Drosophila melanogaster: one gene and its partners. The protein of the gene in region 1 binds, or shares a complex with, the protein of each later gene. Each region holds a gene or a part of one and is shown in the gene's direction. Other genes may lie near its edges. The genes, in order: Spt7, wda, Ada1-1 and Saf6.

What was found.
Region 2: Spt7 (region 1) and wda share a complex: the UniProt entries of both Drosophila melanogaster proteins name them as parts of the spt-Ada-Gcn5 acetyltransferase (SAGA) complex.
Region 3: Spt7 (region 1) and Ada1-1 share a complex: the UniProt entries of both Drosophila melanogaster proteins name them as parts of the spt-Ada-Gcn5 acetyltransferase (SAGA) complex.
Region 4: Spt7 (region 1) and Saf6 share a complex: the UniProt entries of both Drosophila melanogaster proteins name them as parts of the spt-Ada-Gcn5 acetyltransferase (SAGA) complex.

What each region holds. Positions count from the first base shown.
Region 1 is NC_004354.4:17,848,113-17,852,746, forward strand, and holds Spt7 (Spt7), read left to right. Parts: upstream 1-2,347; 5' UTR 2,348-2,428; coding exon 2,429-2,571; intron 2,572-2,632; coding exon 2,633-2,735; intron 2,736-2,795; coding exon 2,796-3,629; 3' UTR 3,630-3,775; downstream 3,776-4,634. Other genes in the region: CG15814 (uncharacterized protein), read right to left, coding at 529-649, 707-942, 1,005-1,233, 1,302-1,598, 1,664-1,698, 1,796-1,843; CG32554 (uncharacterized protein), read right to left, coding at 3,776-4,495. UniProt on the Drosophila melanogaster protein: Component of the transcription regulatory complex SAGA, a multiprotein complex that activates transcription by remodeling chromatin and mediating histone acetylation and deubiquitination. The SAGA complex predominantly acetylates histone H3.
Region 2 is NT_033777.3:23,254,106-23,260,509, reverse strand, and holds wda (will decrease acetylation), read left to right. Parts: upstream 1-2,422; 5' UTR 2,423-2,510; coding exon 2,511-2,669; intron 2,670-2,729; coding exon 2,730-4,024; intron 4,025-4,101; coding exon 4,102-4,402; intron 4,403-4,462; coding exon 4,463-4,809; intron 4,810-4,886; coding exon 4,887-5,016; 3' UTR 5,017-5,440; downstream 5,441-6,404. Other genes in the region: Pex11c (peroxin 11c), read right to left, coding at 82-289, 349-408, 469-833, 1,529-1,600; EloA (elongin A), read right to left, coding at 6,062-6,141, 6,201-6,404. UniProt on the Drosophila melanogaster protein: Component of the transcription regulatory complex SAGA, a multiprotein complex that activates transcription by remodeling chromatin and mediating histone acetylation and deubiquitination. The SAGA complex predominantly acetylates histone H3.
Region 3 is NT_033779.5:11,994,645-11,999,147, forward strand, and holds Ada1-1 (transcriptional adaptor 1-1), read left to right. Parts: upstream 1-2,164; 5' UTR 2,165-2,259; coding exon 2,260-3,059; intron 3,060-3,123; coding exon 3,124-3,250; 3' UTR 3,251-3,321; downstream 3,322-4,503. Other genes in the region: CG18789 (uncharacterized protein), read right to left, coding at 1-541, 597-673; Qtzl (quetzalcoatl), read left to right, coding at 1,170-1,299, 1,358-1,599. UniProt on the Drosophila melanogaster protein: Component of the transcription regulatory complex SAGA, a multiprotein complex that activates transcription by remodeling chromatin and mediating histone acetylation and deubiquitination. The SAGA complex predominantly acetylates histone H3.
Region 4 is NT_033779.5:811,771-818,048, reverse strand, and holds Saf6 (SAGA factor-like TAF6), read left to right. Parts: upstream 1-2,098; 5' UTR 2,099-2,217; coding exon 2,218-2,574; intron 2,575-2,627; coding exon 2,628-2,774; intron 2,775-2,827; coding exon 2,828-3,806; intron 3,807-3,864; coding exon 3,865-4,098; intron 4,099-4,155; coding exon 4,156-4,592; 3' UTR 4,593-4,735; downstream 4,736-6,278. Other genes in the region: CG15880 (uncharacterized protein), read left to right, coding at 151-805, 867-1,003; Pex12 (peroxin 12), read right to left, coding at 1,073-1,966; Dbp21E2 (DEAD box protein 21E2), read right to left, coding at 4,738-5,487, 5,553-6,278. UniProt on the Drosophila melanogaster protein: Component of the transcription regulatory complex SAGA, a multiprotein complex that activates transcription by remodeling chromatin and mediating histone acetylation and deubiquitination. The SAGA complex predominantly acetylates histone H3.

The sequences.
Region 1 (4,634 bases):
TTATCAATAGATTTTTTTTGGTATATGTATATTCCTAACCAGCTCGAGTGCAATTAAGTAAAATCAAGAAAATAAAATTGGTAATAATACCTAGGAGGCATACACACAGGCACACATATGTACATAAATACATAGCTACGTATAATATATAGATATAGATACATATATCCAAAATTGCATTTACGTTTCGATTAAAGACTCCAATGGAAAAGGAAAATTTGGGTGCCCAAAAGCAAACCACACACAGAACTGGAAACCCGCAAACAGATTGGATGGCAATGGCATTCGTCTACAGATCTTTCATCCGTCATCGTCATCATGGTTCAGGTTCATGTAATGGAGTCGTGGAGGGGAGCGGGGGAATGAACGGCGACGGTACTAGTGGTGCGGGTGTTTCGCAGCCCCTCCAGGTTGGTCTGTCGTTGTTTCTCCATCGTCGTGTTTTCCGTGTGGTTTCATGTGCAGGACTTAATCCGAAGTGTGTGTGCTTGACTAGACGCCGAGGAAAGCTAGTGCCGGTATCAGGATCTACTCCAGTCCCAGCATCCAGTTGATGCCTTGTACTATGAAAAAGATGAGCGGCTGCCAGGCCACCAGCCAACGAATCCAATCCAGCAGGCGACCGTACAAAACGTGCGGCTTCTCCCAGCTAGAGGAGAAACAATATTAAGTAGGCCAGTCAAACGGATGGCTCTGAATGGCTTACGGATTGCGGAACATCTTCTGGAGATCGACCTTTTCCTTGCAGTAGGGACACGTCTGCTTCTTGCCCACAATGCACCAACCACGTATACAGAACTCGTGGAATACGTGGTTACAAGACAACTTGTAGGTGTTCTCAATGACGCCCTCTTCCTTCTCCGAGACCAGCAACTGATTGCCACACACTGCGCAGACATTCTGATCAAGATGTCGTGTTGGAATACCCTGAGGTGTGTAGTACTGTGGGACAAACGGGAGGGTTAGAAGATTCCAACTGGGTATCTGGCCAATGGTCAACTCACGCCAATAGCTGCCGCCATCTTATCCGAACATATCTCGGATATATCACGCCCCAGGACGCCGATGTACAGGCCGTAGAAGCAGAACATCAGGCCCACATCCATCCATGTGTTTGGTGGCTGTGAGAACATGTAATTCATGCCCAGAAAGGCGGCTATGATCACCAGATAGCCCACCAGGCCAAGGCCATAGCTGAGCTTGTAGATGAAGTAGAACCACTTGTAGACCAGCCTGAAATTGGATTTTATGGGTTATTATCTGGCCTTCGTCGGTCGCCGTTCTTATCTACGTTGACTCACCTAGGCGTTGTGCCCTGGATGGGCTTGCTGATGGCCCGTCGCATAACCAGTGCCGTGATGCAGGTGAACACCAGCCAGATGATTATGAAGCGCAGCCAGCCGAAGCTGCAGGAGATGATCAGCGGAATGAGCCACATGGCCAGCAGGGTGACGAAAGCGTAGGATCTGTAGTGCCGCTTCTTCCACTCGACCAGGATGATCTGGGCAATAACCAGGGTGACGAACAGAATGATCACCATCTCGGAGTGCATGGCATCGTGGCCGCGATGTTTCTCCACCATCAGTTGATGCTGCGCTCTGTTCGATTGGATAGCCGAAAATTTGTTATGATTTAAAGGATTTTCTAAGGCCACTTCACTTACCGCATTCGCTCCTCCGGCGTCATTTCGTCCAGGGACTGATGGACATCCGCATTAGCAGGGAATTGCAGGGAAGAGGGAAAATTTGGCAGTAGAGTGGGGCTTCCTATTCGATTCCCATTAGAAAAGACTCACCTTGTTCAAGTCCACGGGCTCATGCAGGTCCATGTGCTCCTGGTGCATCTTATTGCCGTTGTATCCGCCGTATCCCGCTGCCGCCAATCCGCCGGACAGTCCCACTCGTCGTCTGCGTCGCTGCGTTATCTTGCCCACCACGTATTGCGATCGGTTTTTACCTTTGAAATTCGTGAAACGAAAACAAATAATTACATTTTATGCCTGTGTGCTTGTCCAGCTGCAGTGGCGTTGCCATTTGTCACAGCGGCCGAAAAAACGAATACATGTATGTGTGACGTGAGCCACAAAAATACAAGCGCGACCTGATTGTTAGAACCAGCTGTCCTGAGTATGGGGTTTTTCCCAAATTGTTGCTATTTTATCATAACCTTTATTTACTTTAGCTACGACAGCGCTTTCTGATTATCGAAAACGAAACGTTCGAGGCCAACGTTGCCAGATGCCGCTGCAGGCCGTGCCGATGTTTACCGACAATCAGCTGTTTGGTTCAATGAGTTGAGTATTTCGTTCCCAGCGCAAGCAAACTTATCGATAGTCCCGATAACCAACCATGTTATTTTAGGGCCCGATAAGTAAACAACAATATATTGTTAAGTAAATGTTGTACGTAGGTTTTTAAGCGAAATAAACATGCAAACAGAGCACTGGGGCTCGCTGCCCGCAGAGGATGACGGCGGTCAACTGACGCCGGACAAATACGTGCCCACGGCGGCCAAGAAACTTAAGCTGGACGAGATTCGCCAGCGCGGAGATCCGCAACCGCAAGAAAAGCAGTAAATAAATCTAAAGAAAAGCTTTAACGCAGCCGGTAAACTAACCATATATTCCATGTAGCCACAAGTTGGAGCTGAGGAGTGCGCTGGTCACCCAGACCATCGAGGTGATGAAGCAAACCGAGGTGCTGCAGTCCCTCATTGAAACGTACTCCAACAAAAATGCAAGTTCTTGGTTCTTGTTTAACCGTAGTATTTACCTAATTTACCCAATGAATTCATAGGGAAGTTCCAATTACCTCTTGAATCCGTGCCTAATGATACCGGAAGTGGACTTTCCGCCGGAGAACGCAGCCGAACTGGTGGGCAGCCAAAAGTTTCAGAAGCCCATTTGGTTCACACCAACCGTGGACACAGCCTACTCTCGCGGGGATCCGGAGGCATATCCGGAGATCCCCAGCTCTGCTTGCCGCCAGGCGATGCGCAAGGTGATGTGCGGCATGCTGCGCCTGGCCGGCTTCACCGACTGTTCCGAGTCGGCGGTGCAACTGCTGACGGACGCCACCGAGGAGTTCCTGCGCAGCTTTATCGGCGAGTATCGCGGCTACTATGACAGTCAGCCGCGGCTGCAGAATTCCACGGTGCTGCAGCTGGTCCCACTGGAGCGCGCCCATTTCGCCCAAACGGGCACCTCGCTCACCCAGGTGCACAACTACTACAAGCACAAGGTGCTGGCCAGGAATCGCGCGGAGATCGCTGAGTTCAACAGCGTACTGCAGGAGTACGACAAACTGATGAAGGAGAGCCAGAGCAGCATGCAGAAGCAGCACAACGAGTTCAACGGCCACGACTTTCTCAACATCCTGGACAACAGCGCCACAGGCAGCAGCCAGAGCATAGGCGGCATGGCCATGGGCGATATGCTGCAGGATCTGGGCGGTAGCACGGGCTCCAGTGGCACAGTCAGCTCCCAGCAGATGCTGTACGGCCTGCTCGATGGCCAGATATCGTCCAATACCTCCAACATGACGGGGACGAGCGGCAATGGCAGCACGGGCGGCAATGGAAATGGCAATGGGGCCACGATTAGCAACTTTCACGCCACTTTTGAAACGTAATTGTTAAAATTGCGGGGATAACTTCATTATCTCACACTGAGATATCTCTAGCAATCAAATGTTTCACACTTTTTATAGAACGACTAAGATCTCTAGGCTCAAGTTAAGTTAAGCTCTAAGGAAACGTACTAATTAAATAGTTTTTATTACGTGTTTTGTTTATTGCTCATCTTTTTGCTAATCCTCGACTCGTTCCAGTTGTTTTGTCGCCTCCGCTTGGTGAACTCGTTGGTGGGTTCAATGGCCACAAGTTTGGTTGCATTCGGATCGCTGGCTCTGTACTGGAACACTTTGTCGTGGCGCGTCTTTTTCTGGGCCCACGCCAGCAGGTCCCTGCCTTCCAGTATGGAGTTGCCAGTGACCACCACAGAGTCCAGAGCTTCGGGCGCGGATTGGTCTTCTTCGGGGGTCCGTCTCCTTATGTTAGGTTTCTTTTTCGGACCTGCAGGACCTTCCACCACCAAATCGGCGATCAAATAGCAATCGGCATTGGACACGAGCTTGACTTTGTCGGGTGGGGGCTTCTGTTTGCCTACGCCATTGGGTACATCCAGAGAGAACTCGATTTGCTCCTGGATTATGCCGCTCAGTCTGCGCCAAATGTGCGTTTGCATCTCCTGCGAGATCTGCAGATCGCTGGCAGGCGCGTCCTGATCCTCCACGTAGCGTTCACTTTTTACCGGCTGTGCTTCGTCCTTCCTAGTGGCCAACGGTTGCTCCTCGTTGGCTACTTCATGCGCCTCCTCTTTTGGCTGCGATTGATACATGGCATTTGTGAGCAACGTGGTGTCCGCCGCCTCCAGGAACTGGCGCATCTGGGCGTCGTCCTCGGAATCAGAGTCGCTATCCCTTGATTTAACTGGCATTTTTTGTACGCTCTTTGAATATTTATTTATTTACATTTAATTTTTAAACGATAGGTGTGCCGTTAACGTGCACGATGGTTGGAACTGCCATTTTCCAAAGCGATAAGTATCGATAGATTCTAAAAGCGCTATGATGGAA
Region 2 (6,404 bases), on another chromosome or scaffold:
GTACAAAAACGATTACCGACTAGCTTAAAATTCTGTTCAACAAATACGAGTACACGGATTGCAAATACAACGGCGGACCGACTACTTGTTCAGTCTTCTCTTGGCAAAGATCTGGTAGATGCCCAGGCCAGCGGATAAGGTGCCAATAGCACCCACCTGCAGGGTGGACAGCTTGCCGCCCCACAAATATCCTTTCGGCAGCGTGCTGACGGCGTGCACAAAGTCGAGTGAGATCCGAACGATGGACACCATCTCCAGGCGGTGCTTGGTCAACGTTTTCACATCCAATCTATGGATTTGGAAGGTTTGTTAGCTTTTATTGGATGTTTTCGGCTGACGACCACTTACTCGTTTATATTATTCGTTCGGTTCAGCTTTTCCTGATTCAGTGAAAAATTCCGCATTGTCCTAGAAGATGCAATTTAATTTGAAAATTCAAAGCTGACGATTCGAATAATTCTTCTGTACCTCATGAGGTTCAGGTACACCGAAAGCACCCAGAATATGGAGTTGACATTGTCCCAGTTATCCGCATTCTTGACATCCACAATCTTGTGCTCGGCCAGCCAGCACACCTTCTCGATGGGATAGTAGAGCAAATCCACAATGTTGGCCGTCACTCCCAGCACTTGCATGACGCGATCGGGCTCATTCTCGCCCAAGCCATACTCCAAAGCATATTGGATCATGGGTATGTCGTCGATGAGACGCAGTGTGGCTCTCGCACCTGAGATCCTTGAGCTGGCGGTGGCGTATCGCTTGGCTAGTTCCGGATTCCGCTTGGCATGGTAGCCAGCCACCAGTTTGGCACTGTAGCACAATGCCTTCATCACCTGAAATAGGTATTTAATTTCATATATGTAATAATTGTTCTGCGCAATTCGTTAAGCCGTGTGTTTGCTCTATCACGAGAGTTGGCATCGCTGTTTACCTTTGCCTCTACCTGACCCCAATCGCCAGTCAGCCCTGCAATTTGTGGAATTGCTTGGTTGTCACAAACAGATAAAATACTATCAGCGATAAAAAGAATACAACGAATGCCACAATCATCTCGTGTGATGGCCGCCAGTGGAGTGCTCCTGGTCGTCCGTCCTGGCCGGAATGAGTTGTGGGTGGTTTCATTGTTTACCCATTAATGGTTCAGTTTGCTTGCTTTGCCATCAATGAATTAGTTATGCAATTCGGAGGAATACTAATGTCGCTATACGACTAATTTATGTAAATATCCTATAGTATTTCCAAAGTTCGTGACCACCCCATTCGCTGTTTACAGCCACATAATATATTATATTATATTTTCAAATGGTTATCAAGTATAACAAATTATTTGTTCTAATTAATAAATCTAAAATACTTTGAACAATATTTTATCGTATTCAAGGTTCGATTTTTCTATTAAAATAGAGATACACTATACAAGATTCCCTCTTTGTCTGCACTGTATACACCCCTTGTAGGGGTATATAAACTCGCGATGGTGGAAATGTGTGGATCGCGTGTCTCCTGATGGGCGGCAGTCCAAACAAACCTTTCGTTCATAACGAATTATCCGCTTTATCTGGTAGCGGCTTAAAGGTTTGCCGGCTATAGTATTGAGCATTATCTTGACTCGATCGCCGCCGAACTGCGACTGATAAGCGAAAAGCGAAATACAAAATCCATTGCGAATCAGAAAGAAGTAAGGCAAGGTCCAAACTGCTGTGGCTTCCTTGTTCGAGACCCAAAGACCAATGCCAACATCGATGCAGCAACAACATGGAAACCTGTTGGTTCAGTTTCGATTTCAAGCGAGCCCCTCAATGGACCAGTCCAAAAAGGAAATAGAAACCAGTCAAAATGCCACGATGCATTTTTTTAAATTTGCGCATACGAATTGGGAAAAACACTCGGTTCAAACGTAAACAAACAGGTGTGTTTTCAATTAATTGGAAATTTACTCGGCTGTGCGGCTCTTCTATGTTACCTTATCTCGCCCGCCATAGGAATCGATAATATCACAGAACTCGTTCACAAACTTTGTCGTGGTGCCCATAATGGCTCGTTTTTTGAAGACCAGGTACTGTTTTATATCACGTAAAAACTCGAACTGAGATACCGCAGCGAAAATACAAGAAATTGTCAAGAGCGCTCGGGAATCCAACAACACAAACAGCTGACTTTCTTCAGTGGTGACAATAGCCAAATAAACTAGCTAAGAATAGAGAATATAATAGAGCTAAAAATAAAAAGCTAGTTAATATAAATAAAATATAATATAAATATAAGTTAAAAATGTAAAAATAAATTTAAAATTAAAATATTTCAATATCAATATTGTTATAAAAGAGAAGCCAAATAGCCATCACTGACGAAAACAATTTTGAAAGAACAGCTGTTGCAGCCGCTTAAAATCGATGAATGCACATCGATAGGACAACCCATCTCCGCTGTCAGCACTATAATCGAACGCATATCGGACGCACTGCAGGACGGGATCAGGATACGGAACAAAGCGAGGCTAACACGCAACGATGAGCCTGCCCAGCGCCAGCAACCACGCACATGCTGCATCGCCCGTCTACAGCAACAGCAATAACAACAAGTCGAGCGCGAGCAGCAAAAAGACCTCCTCCAAAAACGATTTGCTACGCTGCGCCGTGGGACTCCTGCTGAAGCAGAAAAACTACGTGGTAAGTGAATAATCTTCAAATATACAATTCCTCAGAGTGTTCAAATATTCAAACCCGTAGAGCAACGAACGATTTCGGCGGTCGGATTTTTTGCTGCTGCAAAACAAACAGCAGTTTGCTGTCAACAAAATGCTGGATACGGATTTGCACGGTGGCAATAGCTTCACCTTTTCAAATGTCCAGGTTATCACCAACAACCAGCACACTGTGGACCAGCAATTTGGTCGGTTTTCGCAGTTCGTGGAGGCCCAGGCCGAACCGCTGCGTCTGGAAATGAAGCGCTTTTATGGACCCATGCTGTGCCACTTCTATCTGGATCTGCTCAAGGCTCGCGAACCGCGTGGCGCTGTGGAGTTGTTGCGCAAATATGCTCACTTGGTGGCCCCCGTGGATATGTACGATGCACCACCACCTACCAAGATCAACGGATGCTCCACTACGGCCAATGAGTCCACTTTTAACATACGCTTCGCAAAGGAAGCCCAGGACACTGGGGACACGGAACTGGACTACTTTATGCGCCTGGTGCAAACCCTGAGTGGCTACACACGGCTGGAGGCAGCAGAGTCCGATGACACAGTGGCCCATTTTCGATCTTCGAAATACGAACTACATACTACAGCCGTAGTTGTTAATAGGATATGCGCTTATCTCCAACGACGGGGCCACGTTTTAATTATGAACCTACTCTACACCTGGTTGCATGTCCATATAGTGGAGAATGAGCAGCGCGCCTTTAGTGAGGATCACCTGCTTGGCTTGACGGATGACCTGGAAGGTGAGGATGGAGAGGACGATGTTGTTTCCAAACCAGCAGTAACCCTTAATACCCGCGGAGACATAAGACCAAGCAAATCCCTCACTGAAAAGTCGAACCGAAAACGACCCGCTGAGGAGCCAAACATTATGCTAGAAACAGACATCAAACAGGAGGTAGAAACGGATGAATCTGCAGAGCTTAGTAAATTACAACTGAATATAGACGCCTGCTTGGACACCCTTAAATCGGCCACTGAACAGATACTCAAGTCTCAGGTGGAGTTGCCGCGATTTCTCAGAATCAGTGAACGTTCTCGGGGCCTCACCTCCGCCCATCTGGATCCCAGTGAGTGCCACATGTTAGCCGGGTTCGACAATTCTGCCGTACAGCTGTGGCAGTTAAACCAGAGCTACTGCCGCGGCAAGAGCTTCTACAGACGCTATCCGCAAAAGCGGTGTCCCTGGGAGCTGAACAATTGCGCGAATCAAGAGGAGGAGACGGATGAGGACAGCAGCGATGAGGATGTCAAGTGCTCTGAGGAGGAGAGACGGGAACGCAACAGGGCGCGACATTGCAAATATGCTGATAACTCCTAGTAAGTTCATCTTCCAGGTTTAGTATTGGTTTTATTTTTCAATTTTTAATCAACTAAAGTTTTTTTTTTCTAATTAGCAACGAATACGGCGGATTTCAGCTGCGAGGTCACACAAAAGGAGTCACCGATGTGCGCTTCTCCGCCCACTACCCACTCATGTATAGTGTGTCCAAAGACGCAACCATGCGGTGCTGGCGTGCCCACAACCTGCATTGCGCCGCCATATACAGAAGTCACAACTACCCAATTTGGTGCTTGGACGAAAGTCCAGTGGGCCAATACGTGGTAACGGGTTCCAAGGATTTGAGTGCGCGCCTCTGGTCGCTAGAGAAGGAACATGCGCTCATAATTTATGCCGGGCATACACAGGATGTTGAGGTTGGTTTAACCAAAAATGTCTTTGAACTTTTAGTTATATATATTTTTTTTTTCTGACAGTGCGTTGCGTTCCATCCGAATGGCAACTACATAGCCACAGGATCGGCAGATCACTCCGTTCGCCTGTGGTGTGCAACCAGCGGAAAATTGATGCGTGTCTTTGCCGACTGCCGTCAGGCGGTGACCCAGCTGGCGTTTAGCCCAGATGGAAAGATGTTGGCTGCCGCCGGAGAGGAAACGAAGGTGCGTATATTCGACTTGGCCGCCGGAGCACAGCTGGCTGAGCTCAAGGATCACTCGGCGAGCATTAGTTCTCTTTCCTGGAGCACGCACAATAGGCACCTGGCCACAGCGTGCAGCGATGGTACCTTGCGATTGTGGGACATCAAGAAACTATCGCCCATGAGGTTAGTTATATTTGTGGAATGGAAACGGAGCAATTTGTTAATATTGGTAATGATGATTTATTTTGGTTGCTCCACAGTGACAACAGTAGTGCTGGAAGCTCATCATCAGCTACAACGAATCGTGTGCTTACTGTCAATAGTTCCTGCCAGCGCTTGGTCGATGTTTTTTACGGGACCAGCAAGACGCTCTACTGCATCGGCACTTAAAGAAGACGGTTGAAAGTTCAGCCCGAATTTAGACTTTCTAGTGACGACTTATGTTTGAAAATAATTTATTTTGTAATAAGTTGTATATTATTGTTACTATCGTGTGAAACAATTCTTTATATAAATAATTCTTTTGATTTAACAATCCTGGTAGCTTTCTTGTGGAATAAAACGAGTTGGTTACAGTGTAATGCCTTTACCTGCATCGTCTACTGGTCACAGCTAAAGAATGTCTTTCAAAACGAAGTCATGGCATAAGTAATGAGTGGCCAATTTCCACAAAAGTTGAAAAATGTGTAACTATTAAAAATAAGACGAGCATTCGAATCGAATTTCAATTGTTGAAGTGATTTTTTTTAATATATTAACATTTTACCCAATACCTAAAAATGTGCAAAACTAAATAAATCTAAAGGTAATATAGAATTTTTTGGTTGAATTTAATTAGCGATGCATTAAGAGACATTTTACTGTTCTTCAATAATTTAGGTAGTTTCATATAGGTTTAGGATTGTGTAAATACATTTATATACAGCTTGGAACCTCTATGATTTTGGACATACGCACAGCCCTTTTGAACAAAGAACATTGAACTTAATTTTTAAATAATGTTGGAGTGATCAGCCTTCTGATCGTAAGTTACATGCAATCAATGAATTGAACAACTATAATCAAATATCATAACTTATGTAAATGAGCTTGTCTACGACCCAGCGGGATGCAACAAAAGCTTTATCTTTATCCGGTTGGCTTAAATATAGTGACTTATACAGCGTAATAAAAGAGGGCAGAACATGAATAAATAATAAATAGCATGCATATGCTACGCATGCCGACAGCAGCAGTCTGATTCCACAGCGCACTGGGAAGTAGAAGGTCTAGTATCACAATGTCACTTTATTCAGACCTGAAAGTCTTTGCCAATAAAGTTGGAAGGTAATCCCACCGTGAATGCCTAATAGATCGAGGTTGCTGCTACTGCTGCTGCTTAAGTTGTCGCTGAAGAAGTTGAGTATAAGATTGTAGCTATAATGAGTAAGCGCATCTATCGTTTGAGACGTCCGCGCATAAACTGCAAGGTCTTCGCCATTAGAGGTGCCTTCTTCGATCGCGCTGGTCCAGCCCCTTTTCAATAAAAATTATAGGTAAATTTAATTCTTAACCACAATCATTACAATACTTACCCACTTGGGCCGTGTCCCTGGCAGCGGCCAGCACACGTAGTCGGGCATCGCCCACCTTGGCTGCATTTGGAGTCACGCTGGACAAGGCGGCCACTCGGGCGGCTGGAGTGGCAATTAGCTTGCCCTTGGTGCCATATTGCTCTTGCTTGCGCTGCACACTACGCGGCGGCTTCACCATTGAGTCCACAAAGGCCAATTGCGTCT
Region 3 (4,503 bases), on another chromosome or scaffold:
TGGCTGTCCAAAGACACTTTGTGCACCTGTTGCCGCAGCTCCTACACCAAAAATGCTATTCCTTGCATTGGCATTGCTAATCGTTCCGCCGAAAATGCTATTGGTGTTGCTGGCTTGGCTTGTGGCATTCCCAAATATATTTCCCGCACTCAGCGTGGGCTTTCCAAAAATGGATGCAGATGTATTGGCGGCAGCCGGAGCTGCTGCAGCGAAGGGATTACTGGACTGCTGAGGGGCAGCCGACACAGTGCCGCCCTCCGGCGTCTCGTGGATCTTGATCATCATTTCCAGGACCTGCGGCGACATCTGAAGCATGGTCTTCATCTTGTTGTTAGCCTCTAGGACCTCACGGTTAAACTGTTGGCTGAACTGTTCGAATTGGTTTTGTCGTTTGGCCTCGTAACACATGAACCGCACCTCCTCGAAGGATTGGTCCTGAATAAAGTTGGGGAAATTCGCTTTGTCCTTAAAGGGTCCGTAGGCGGACAAAGGCCACATCTTGCCATTGAGGCTGGATTCCATGTCGGCTTTGAGATATTGCCTAAAATAATTAAGTTATTAGTTCATCTGCATAGTTTTAATATCAATGTACTCACTTAACATCGAAATGCTCGTTGTTGCACTTTGCGCCATAGCGGCAGGAGCCTTGTTGAAAGAACCGGCAGACAACCATATTTAAATTTGATTTTAATTTTTGCCTATTTCCTATATTTATTATTTCAAAACTGCTTCAACTTTTGTACTTTTGTTTATAATTGTCTTACTTTGCGTATTGAGTATTCTTTGAGTATTTTATGGCTCACTGAGAAAAATATACCGTGCCTATGCGCGCAATTTCGTGAATTCGTAACTTAAGTTCGCTGAATGATTAAGATAATTTTGTAAGCAAACATATTTAAGATGAAAACTGGTTTTTGAAAATATAGTTCCTTGTAAATTATACATTAAGTGCGAATATATCTGAAAAATATTGGTTTCTTGCACAGATGCTATTCATTTTTCATATGTTCAAAGAAATTCAGAAACTTGCTTCTGCATAATCGAATCAGATAATTTTAAAGTGAATTCCGGAGTCCTTTGGTATATCTCGTGCCGCCGAATACGGTCCCACTGATTGTGAAATCCGTGATAACGAATTTTAACACCAGAATTTCTAGGATTCCATCAGAATGCAAAAAGTGCTGGGACGCATCCAGGCGCAGGTCCTCCGCTCCCGGGCGACGAATGCATTAGCCAATGTGGTTAGACACGAGGCCACCTCCTCCAGGACAGCGGCTAAACCAGCCGCCACATCCAAAGGTAAGCGGATCCTCCAAGATGCACAGTTACCGCTTACCAAAATCGTATTCGTTCGTAGAATTCCGGGAGAGACAGGTGCGATTCAACATAAAGAACGAACAGACCGAGGGTAGACCACTTTACCTGGATGCCCAGGCCACCACTCCAATGGACCCACGTGTATTGGACGCTATGCTCCCCTATCTGACCAATTTCTACGGAAATCTGGTTCGTACGCTTCGCCTTCAACGCCTGGCAAAAGATTCTGGCCTTGGGCAATCAACTGGGCACAACATTTGTCTGGGAATTGGACTGCAATGATCCCAATTTAACAAAGTGTAGCCAGCTGGTTCATCCCAAAAGCAACTCCACCATCCGACAGACTTCCTTCTCCAAAGACGGTTCCATTTTAGTTTGCGTGTGCGACGACAGCACCGTGTGGCGATGGGATCGCGTCAATTAGGATGAGTGTTTCTAGGCTAAAAGAATTTTCCTTATCCTTCTAAATCCGATACCATATTTATGTAACCATAGTTATTTTCAGTGTAATGTTTACCTTCAATATTAAGTATGTTCTTATGCGTAGCATTTATATACAATACTCATTGTATTGACAATTTATGTTAAATTATGTTAAATTTTTTAACATTAACCAAGATATTTATTCTATTCTATTACTTTTTTAATGATCAAATAGCTTCGCAAATATTATCATCTTATGTTGTGTGAATGGCGTGGGCTCTATCTTTAATGTTTATATTTTAACTAACTAACTTGTACACAATAAAAACTGTGAACACTAAAGATTAAAACCAATATTTTTTTAAAGGGTTCTTCAAAAATAACGGTTTTTATCTCAAATGTATCTGGTATTTTCAGCCGTTCTTTGAACGGTCACTCGAATCAGCTGCATTCATTTGTTTATATAGCAATTCGCAAACAGTTGGATTTTCCTGTTTAGTTGTTATTCCCAATACTAAAATGCTTACCGACAGAGTTCTGGCCACCAAGGAGGCGCTAGTGGTGGCTCTGGGCGACAACTGGGAGCGTTACCGGGCCAACATGAAGAATTGGTTTCGGAGCCGTTGGACTAAGGAGGAATTCGATGCGGAGTCGCGGAAAATCCTAACACCTGACAAACTGCACCTGCACAATCAGTTCCTGCTCGCCCTGCTCAACAAGATCGACGCCTTTGCTCCCCTGGAGAATCCTCCGGCCGTCCAGACCAGCAGCAGTAGTGGCAACCGAAGCAAACGGCGCAAAAGAAGTTGCCGCACCTTCGCCGAACGCCTTAATTTTGAGCTCAGCGACGTCCTGGACTTTGTAGCCGAGGACAACATGCAAATCATTCGTCCGCCAACCACGATCGGTATTCCGTCGGACCAGCAACAGCAACAGCTTCAGTCGCAGCGGTACTGCGCGCAGGAACTTTTCCTGCCCGACGCGGGATTCATTATGGGACGATTTCTGATCGGTGCCTGGGAAATCGGACTTGTCTCCGTGGACGACAATGTCGCCGAGTACGTTGCCATGGCCGTGCAAGTTCTGCTCAAGGATCTACTATCGGCAATCATCAAGAAACGAAAGCACTACAAGACCAGCGGCGAGGGAAACTTTTACTACGATGTAGGTGCTCCGTTGCGTGATCCTTCGCTGCGCAACACCGTCACCCGGCAGAAGGTCGACGACACGCCGCTGGAACTGGACAAGGAACTGAATACGGCCAACTTTATGCGGCGACAGAACGACGATGTGACCTTCCTCTCCGCCTGCGAAGAAGTGTAAGCTCCTGAATAATAATGAGATTTTCATGTGAAACACAAACTTAGGTTTTGTTTCTTTCAGCCAACCCACCGAACGCACAGTAATCACCCTCAAGGACTGCCAACTGGCCTTACGGGATCGCAACCTGATAGGCTCGCATGCCGTCTACTCCATAAACATGGAACGACTCAATATGATGATGCATTAGCTTATAAGTTCTAATTATTTTATTATATCAGCTTCTGTAAAAATATATACATTATACGCTAGTGTACCATTAAGTGTTTGGTTCAGCAAAGATTCCGTGGAGGCGGTTTGAATGGCAAGGCACCTGGTAGAAATTGATCCGCCTTGAATGCTTCGATTTCCTGCTCGTTGAGATCCTCCATGCGACTGTAAACTGAGGACTGGATTTCGTTGGTCGGTTGAGCTTGCTGCTGCTGCTGCTGCTGCATCATTTGCTGTTGCTGTTGCATTTGAAATTGTTGTTGCTGCTGCATTTGTTGCTATTGCATCTGCTGCTGCTGATGCATTTGTTGCTGTTGCATCTGTTGCTGCTGCTGCATCTGTTGCTGCTGCTGCATCTGTTGTTGATTAGGGAATGCAGATGCTGCTGCTTGAGCAAATAATCCGGAGGCAGCTGCCTGCTGCTGCTGTTGTAGTTGCTGAGAAGCCTGAGTAAACATTCCGCCCATATTTTGGCTTGCGGCTTGGCCAAAGATTCCCGTCGACTGCGGTTGCTGCTGCTGCTGTTGGAAACCACCGAAAGGATTAGGATTCACTGGCTGAGCTTGCACCTGAACCTGCGCCTGGGCGAAAATGTTGCCCCCTTGGAAAGCTTGTGCAGCAGGCTGCAGCTGTTGCTGCTGTGGCTGTCCAAAGACACTTTGTGCACCTGTTGCCGCAGCTCCTACACCAAAAATGCTATTCCTTGCATTGGCATTGCTAATCGTTCCGCCGAAAATGCTATTGGTGTTGCTGGCTTGGCTTGTGGCATTCCCAAATATATTTCCCGCACTCAGCGTGGGCTTTCCAAAAATGGATGCAGATGTATTGGCGGCAGCCGGAGCTGCTGCAGCGAAGGGATTACTGGACTGCTGAGGGGCAGCCGACACAGTGCCGCCCTCCGGCGTCTCGTGGATCTTGATCATCATTTCCAGGACCTGCGGCGACATCTGAAGCATGGTCTTCATCTTGTTGTTAGCCTCTAGGACCTCACGGTTAAACTGTTGGCTGAACTGTTCGAATTGGTTTTGTCGTTTGGCCTCGTAACACATGAACCGCACCTCCTCGAAGGATTGGTCCTGAATAAAGTTGGGGAAATTCGCTTTGTCCTTAAAGGGTCCGTAGGCGGACAAAGGCCACATCTTGCCATTGAGGCTGGATTCCATGTCGGCTTTGAGATATTGCCTAAAATAATTAAGTTATTAGTTCATCTGCATAGTTTTAATATCAATGTAC
Region 4 (6,278 bases), on another chromosome or scaffold:
AATATTTAATACCAACCAAATTTAAGAATTATTGAGATTGAACTGTCTTAGTTTTATGTGTCATTGTTCGAGTGCCTCACTTTGTCTGGAGGGATAACAGAAAGTGTAAGATTGTCTGACCGACTTGTCCTAGGATTAACCTGCTCTTAAATGCTGCACTTTGTGGAGGATCAAGCCAAGCTGTTGCCCAGCTCCATCAAGGATTTGCAGGCGAGGCGGCATTTCCGCATCCCAGTTGGTCCGATTCTCGCACTGGGGCTTCTGCAATTGCCCGTCTGCATGGTGTACAACCTGGTGATGGCCATCACCACGGACTTCCAGTCCACCACGTATACCACCTGTAATGCCTTCAACATCTTTCCCTCCACATCGGCGGCTGCCAAGTCTCAGCACAAAGTGTGGGCTCTGGCTTGCTACCTGGAGTTCCCATTTCTCATTGCCAGTGCATGGCTGCAGTTCCGATTCTATCGGAGGAATCTGCGCAGGCCGGTCCGAGGTTTCGGCTGCCTGATGGCCATCATTATGGCTGTCAGTAGTTCCAGCGTACTGCTATGGGGCACCTTCCCCCAAGAGGATGGCGACTCATTGCTGCACATAACCATCGCCTTGTCGCTATTCGTATCGTGTGCCATTTACATGGCAGGTTCCTTTGTGTGCGCCAAGTACTATATGAGCGATAGGATTGGGCAGCTGCATGAGGAATTCTCCTTGCGGTTGAAGAGCGGTCTGGTGCTCACCTACTACGTCTGGGTGGTGGTCATGTGGATTTTTTACTTTATACACCAGAAGTTTTGCTTTCCCTTGGGTGAGTAGAACCTAACCGAATGGAAGGATGTCTACAATTCTAATCCCCGGATCCTCTGCAGCCTACTCCGTATTCGGTATGGGCGAGTTCATCTCCTGTGAGTGCTTCTTTATCTATCTATGCACGGTCTACTTTGACTTCTACCACGTCTACATATGTTACGACCAACGTTTGGGTTTCTTCCTCAGCGAGATGTAAACAGTTCCCAATTCCTTATAAAATGTATTAAACAAAAACAAGCAAAAAACATAAAAGGAATGCTTAACGTTACGTCTCGTAGATGCGCACCAGGTCGTCCAGACTGATGGGATAGTGGGTGACCGGGCAGGTGCCGTGCTCCTTCATGTGGCTAACGATGCACTTCCAGCAAAAGACGTAGCCGGAAACGGAGCAGGCAGTGGGCGTCTGGATGGACAGCAGGCAGACTGGGCACTCTCCCCGCTGGGGAAGGCTCTGCTGCACTTCCTTGGGCAGCTGCTTTCTCGGCATCGCTTCGGGATTTATCAGAGTTCCACCCACTTTCCGCCGCTGGTCGTTGGAGTACCACCACTGGACGAACTGCAGGAAGAAGGCCAAGACCTCCAGCATCTTTAGGACCACGTAGGTCCACTGATCCTCTTTGGGAGGTTCGCTGGGATAGCGAAGGGTCAGCCCCAACAATCTGAAGATGGGCGAGTGGTTTGAGGCGTACTTTACGAGGTAAAAGAATGTGTGCGCCGCCTTGGCGGCATGGAAAGCATGGAATGCGCTTAGAAGGCGTTGCTCCCAGGGACTGGTGTCCTCGTGCCTGGTGATCCTGGTCCTTAGCTTCCGCTCCACGTAAGGCATGAAGGTTAGCAGTGTGGCAGAGGCGAACTGCTGCCTGCGGTTCAGCAGATCCCCAGTGGTTGTGACCGTCCTTTGCAATCCGTAAAAGCTCTCACCGAAAGAGGAGGCCCTCTTGCGCAGATACAGGTACTGCAGCAGCCAAGTCAGCAATGGCGACAGCTCCTCCTGAATCCTCAAACTCCCCCATAGTTTAAAGTCCAGGCGTAGTCCAAAGTAGTCGAATATCTTGCTCAGTGCCGGGTAAATCAGGTTGTCCAGCGTCTCTGACGCTGAAATTTCGAAGATCGACGGCACATTTTGAAGGTTCTGGCGCACATTTGCCGCTTCTGCCATTGTGTTTATAGCATTTAAATAAATGGAATTAAATTCGAATACCAATTATGTTGTTATTCTTATCAGTACTGGTGTTATCGGGCTTGGCTTGAAAACAGTCGAGTGCTCATCAATATATCGATAAGTCGTTGGCACCATCGATAGTTGGGTTAATAATCTGGCAAGATTTGTTTATTTTGTGGTGCAGCTTCGTTGTTTATTTACCAACTGTTGAAAATATATACATTTATGAATTATACAAAACCAAGAAGATGAAAACCTCTGGCGCCAGCAATACTGACGAGCTGAACAAGTCATCGCACAGCAAAGTCAGCAAAAAGTCCACTAAGTCGCGATCTAAGTCGGCGAAATTGGAGTTGACTGGAAAGAATTCCCTGTCGGCATCCGCATCATCCTCCATCGCATCCGCAGTGAGCGGGGGCGTTGCAGTGGGCAGCCTGCCGGCCACGCCCACTCACCTAAACATGGTGACAACGCCCACCACGCCAACATCTAGTCTGGGTAACTACAATCTGTTTGACGCCTCATTTGCGGTAGCAGGAAGTGGTGGGCACGGACTTGCAGGCGGCATCGCGGGCGCAGAAGCCTCTGGCAACTCCAGTCGAATGGTAAGGATGCCAATCTCAGGGCCCTCTTATGGTACAAGCTCTCTTTACTGTAGGGTCATCAGAAGAGCTATGCTGGTTTCGATCCGCGCAGCATCAAGATCTTTTGGGAGCAGCACGACCAGACCGATGTGGAACTCTCCCAGGATGTGTGCGCCCGTTTGGCGGAAGATGCCTCCTACAAAGTCTGGGAGCTGATCAATGTAAGTCGACCGTAATACACCTCTTTAATCCCTCTAACCTCTTGATCTCTCAGAATGTCAAAATATACTCGCGCCACTCGGGCGGAGTGGTGACATACGACCTGGTGAACGAAGTGCTAAAAGATGCCGATGTGCCGCCTATGCTGGGTGCGATGGACAGCGACTGGGACCGGATCGACTATGACGGCAGTTTTTACTTTCACTCGGATAAGATCTTCGAGCTGAGCGCGGAGTTTCAGAAGGAAGTCAATCTGTGCACACCTGATGATGCAGACTTTCAGAGCATCTGCCCAGTGGAGGATAAGCACATGGACCAACTAAGACAGTGTGTCCAGAGTCTTGTGACGGCAGCCCTTTTTGCGGACAGCAAATCCCAGACGGCCGCCGTCTGCCATGCTTTTCAGACACCCCTGATGGGATCTATCTACCGAGTGATTGTGAGTAAGATGGTCCAGTTGCTAGCCTTTAAGCAGCAGGACCATTTGAGCCAGCGATGCTGGCGACTGCTCCGAGCATGCAACTACAACGCCACTGCTAATCACAATGCCTGCCGGCCGGAGTACTTCAACCTGGCCGAGGTACTGGTCAGCCAGCTAATGGCACCTTACGAAACTATCAAAGCTCCACACGTCGACCCAGATCCGGGACAAACCACCTCCATCAAAATGGAGTTTGAAGAAGAACTAAAGGTTGAGCCAGACCAGTGCCATAATCCGGAAACCCAGGAAAATCCGGAGGTCATGGGAGTAGAGAAACAGGAGCAAGAACCCCAGATGTTTCCGGGTGAGAGCACCATGGAACACACAATCTACAAGCTGCAATCGGAGGAGGAGGAATTGAATCCTCAGCCGGAGGCGGAACACCTATCCAGCTACTTTGCCTGTCCAGTCGGCAATGGCCTGGTGGACGAGCTGTGTGAAACTATAGGACAGCTGGCATCTCAAAGTGGTTACCTACATGCAGAGTGCCTGTTTTTGATCAAGAGACGCCTAGCGAGATTCTTCGAAGGTCGCCACGTCAGCAGTGAGAGAGGTAAATCATCCTTACAATTTGTTAGCCTGGATCCTTATCTTTGGATTTCTTAATTAAGACTTTAGGTATATCAGTAGAGCAGTGCGCGGTCTCATTGCCCTGGGAGAATATGCCTTTCGTGAGTTTATTCCCTACATCTACAAACTGCGCGTCGAGGAAATCCCGGATAGCCTGTGGCCGGATCTGGCTCCGGCTGCCATCTTCCTTGGCGGTCATGATGACGTATACCTGTATGAATGGCTGGAGTACGGATGCGGTGCTGCTCTGCAGCCCTTCTTGGTCCACTATGCGCGTAAGAAACACCCATGTGTTCCATGAAAAGCGGTTAAGTAACTAAAAATCATTGCAGGAGCCTACGAAAAGATGGTAACCAGACGGTATGTGAAGGCCAAACAACCCGCTTACAGAATAGAATCAGTGCCGGGAGTGCGTCGGTTGGAATGGAGTACTCTTGCGGCAGCCATGTGCCACGGAGACGATCCTAGCAAGGCACTCAAACCGAAGCCTACGCTCTGCGAGGCTTTCCCCGACCTTCAGTCACCAAATCTTCAGCTCAACTGCGCGGGCAACATCCGCTTTAAGTTTGCAGGATGCCGCCCGGTGCTGCTGAAGCCGAAGGTTGCGACTGTTCCCCACTCCGAAGACTCGCCTTCGTCGGCAGCGAACGGTGGTGGGGGTGGCGGTGCCAGCTCCGACATCCTGATCGCCAAACGAAAACTCTTTAAGCCCCTGACCAACGTGAGAAAGTGGTCGCCCATCAGTGGCTATCACTACCTAAGGATCTGAAAGGGACTTGGGAAAGTATTATAAGACCTTCTGGAGGTCCAGGAGGACCTGGGGATCTCAATAAAACTCTTCGTTTACTTTAGACTTCCTCTTCGGTCTTCCGAAAGGTGATACAACTTTACTCGTAATACATAAAAACACAGAACTAAAAGGCTTCTTCCTGAGGCGTATGTCCATTTAGTGAGCCCAAAGCGGGCACGGGCATTCCTGCAGCTTTCATCTCCGCCACAATCCGCTTGTTGATAATGTTTCGGATGTTGGCATTCACATCCGGCAGAAGTCCACCTGTTCGAGCTGCGTGCTCAATTCGCTGGACGACGTCGATTTCGCGGCGCGATGATATCAGGTTCGTGACTAGCGCCTTGTCCATGTTGCCCACCCGACCGATCCTGCCACAACGATGGATATAATCGGAGACGTGGAGCGGAAAGTCAAAGTTGACCACATGTCGAGCTCGTGTGGTATCCAGGCCACGACTTCCCACATCGGTGGTGGAAAGGACGTCGCAGTGACCGTTTTGGAACTGCTCGAAGCGGCCAAGACGGATCTTCATCAGCATATCCCCATTCAGATTTAAGCAGTTCACTCCGCTGTTGTTCAGGAAGATGGAAACGAAGTCACTGGTGGTGGACTTGTTGCTGAACACGATAAGAGGGCGACGTTTGGCAAGATCATGCTTCACGAGTGACAGAAGTGTGGCGGGCCGATCGGCCTTCGACAGCCGCAGGAACTTCTGCGTCACATGAGACATCAGTCGGTGCAGGTGCGGACTGACGACCTCACGGATGGTGTCCACGTCTATGACTTTGTGAAGGATCTCTCTGGTGTTCGTGGGCATGGTGGCCGAGGCCAGGATCATCTGGGTGCCAGCATCCTCCTTTTGCACCAAGTGGAACTGTCGAATAAGAAAAAACAAGCTGATTGAAGCCATTCCTTTGGTAATCGCCTAGAATGACTTACGGGAAATCTCCTGAGGAAGTAGGAAAGTTTGTCTGTGAACGTATCATCTAGGAGGGTGTCCGCTTCGTCTAGAACCAGATGACGAACCTGCTCCATGCGGTAGATGCCAGTGGTCACCAGTTTGCTAAGTGCACCCAGAGTGGCGACCAGTATGTCCACCTCCTCGAACTGTGGGTTCATCATAAGCTGCTTGGTATTGCCGCCAAGTAAAGATTGCACTTTGAGATTGGTGCCCTGGGTGAGCTTCTCCGTGACCCCAGCAATCTGCGTGGCTAGTTCTCTGCCGGGAGTGAGGATCAAGACACGGGGGGTGTTGAGTTTTCGTTCGGTGACCACTTCTTTCTGGAGGAGTTTGTCTACGATAGGCAGGAGATATGTAATTGTTTTTCCACACCCAGTTTCAGCGGCAATGAGGCAGTGCTCATTTCCATGGACAACGGGCATTCCCTGTTTTTGGATTCCCGTCAGTAATTTGATGCCCAGCTCGACTCGCAAGTTCTCAAGGAGTTGCGGATGAATCTGCATCCCCGTGCTCTCGAGGAACTCATCGACGGTCTGCATTTCCTGCTGGAGTTCCTCACCTCGCACGCTGGCGTTCAGGATGAAGAAGTCTCCCTTGGATTTGTTGTGCAGCCAGCCCTTGGAGGCCAGCGAAAGACTCCCAAACTTGGCATCCGTCTGCTCGTATTGGGTTAAATCGAACTGGCTTCTTCTGCAGGAGATTAG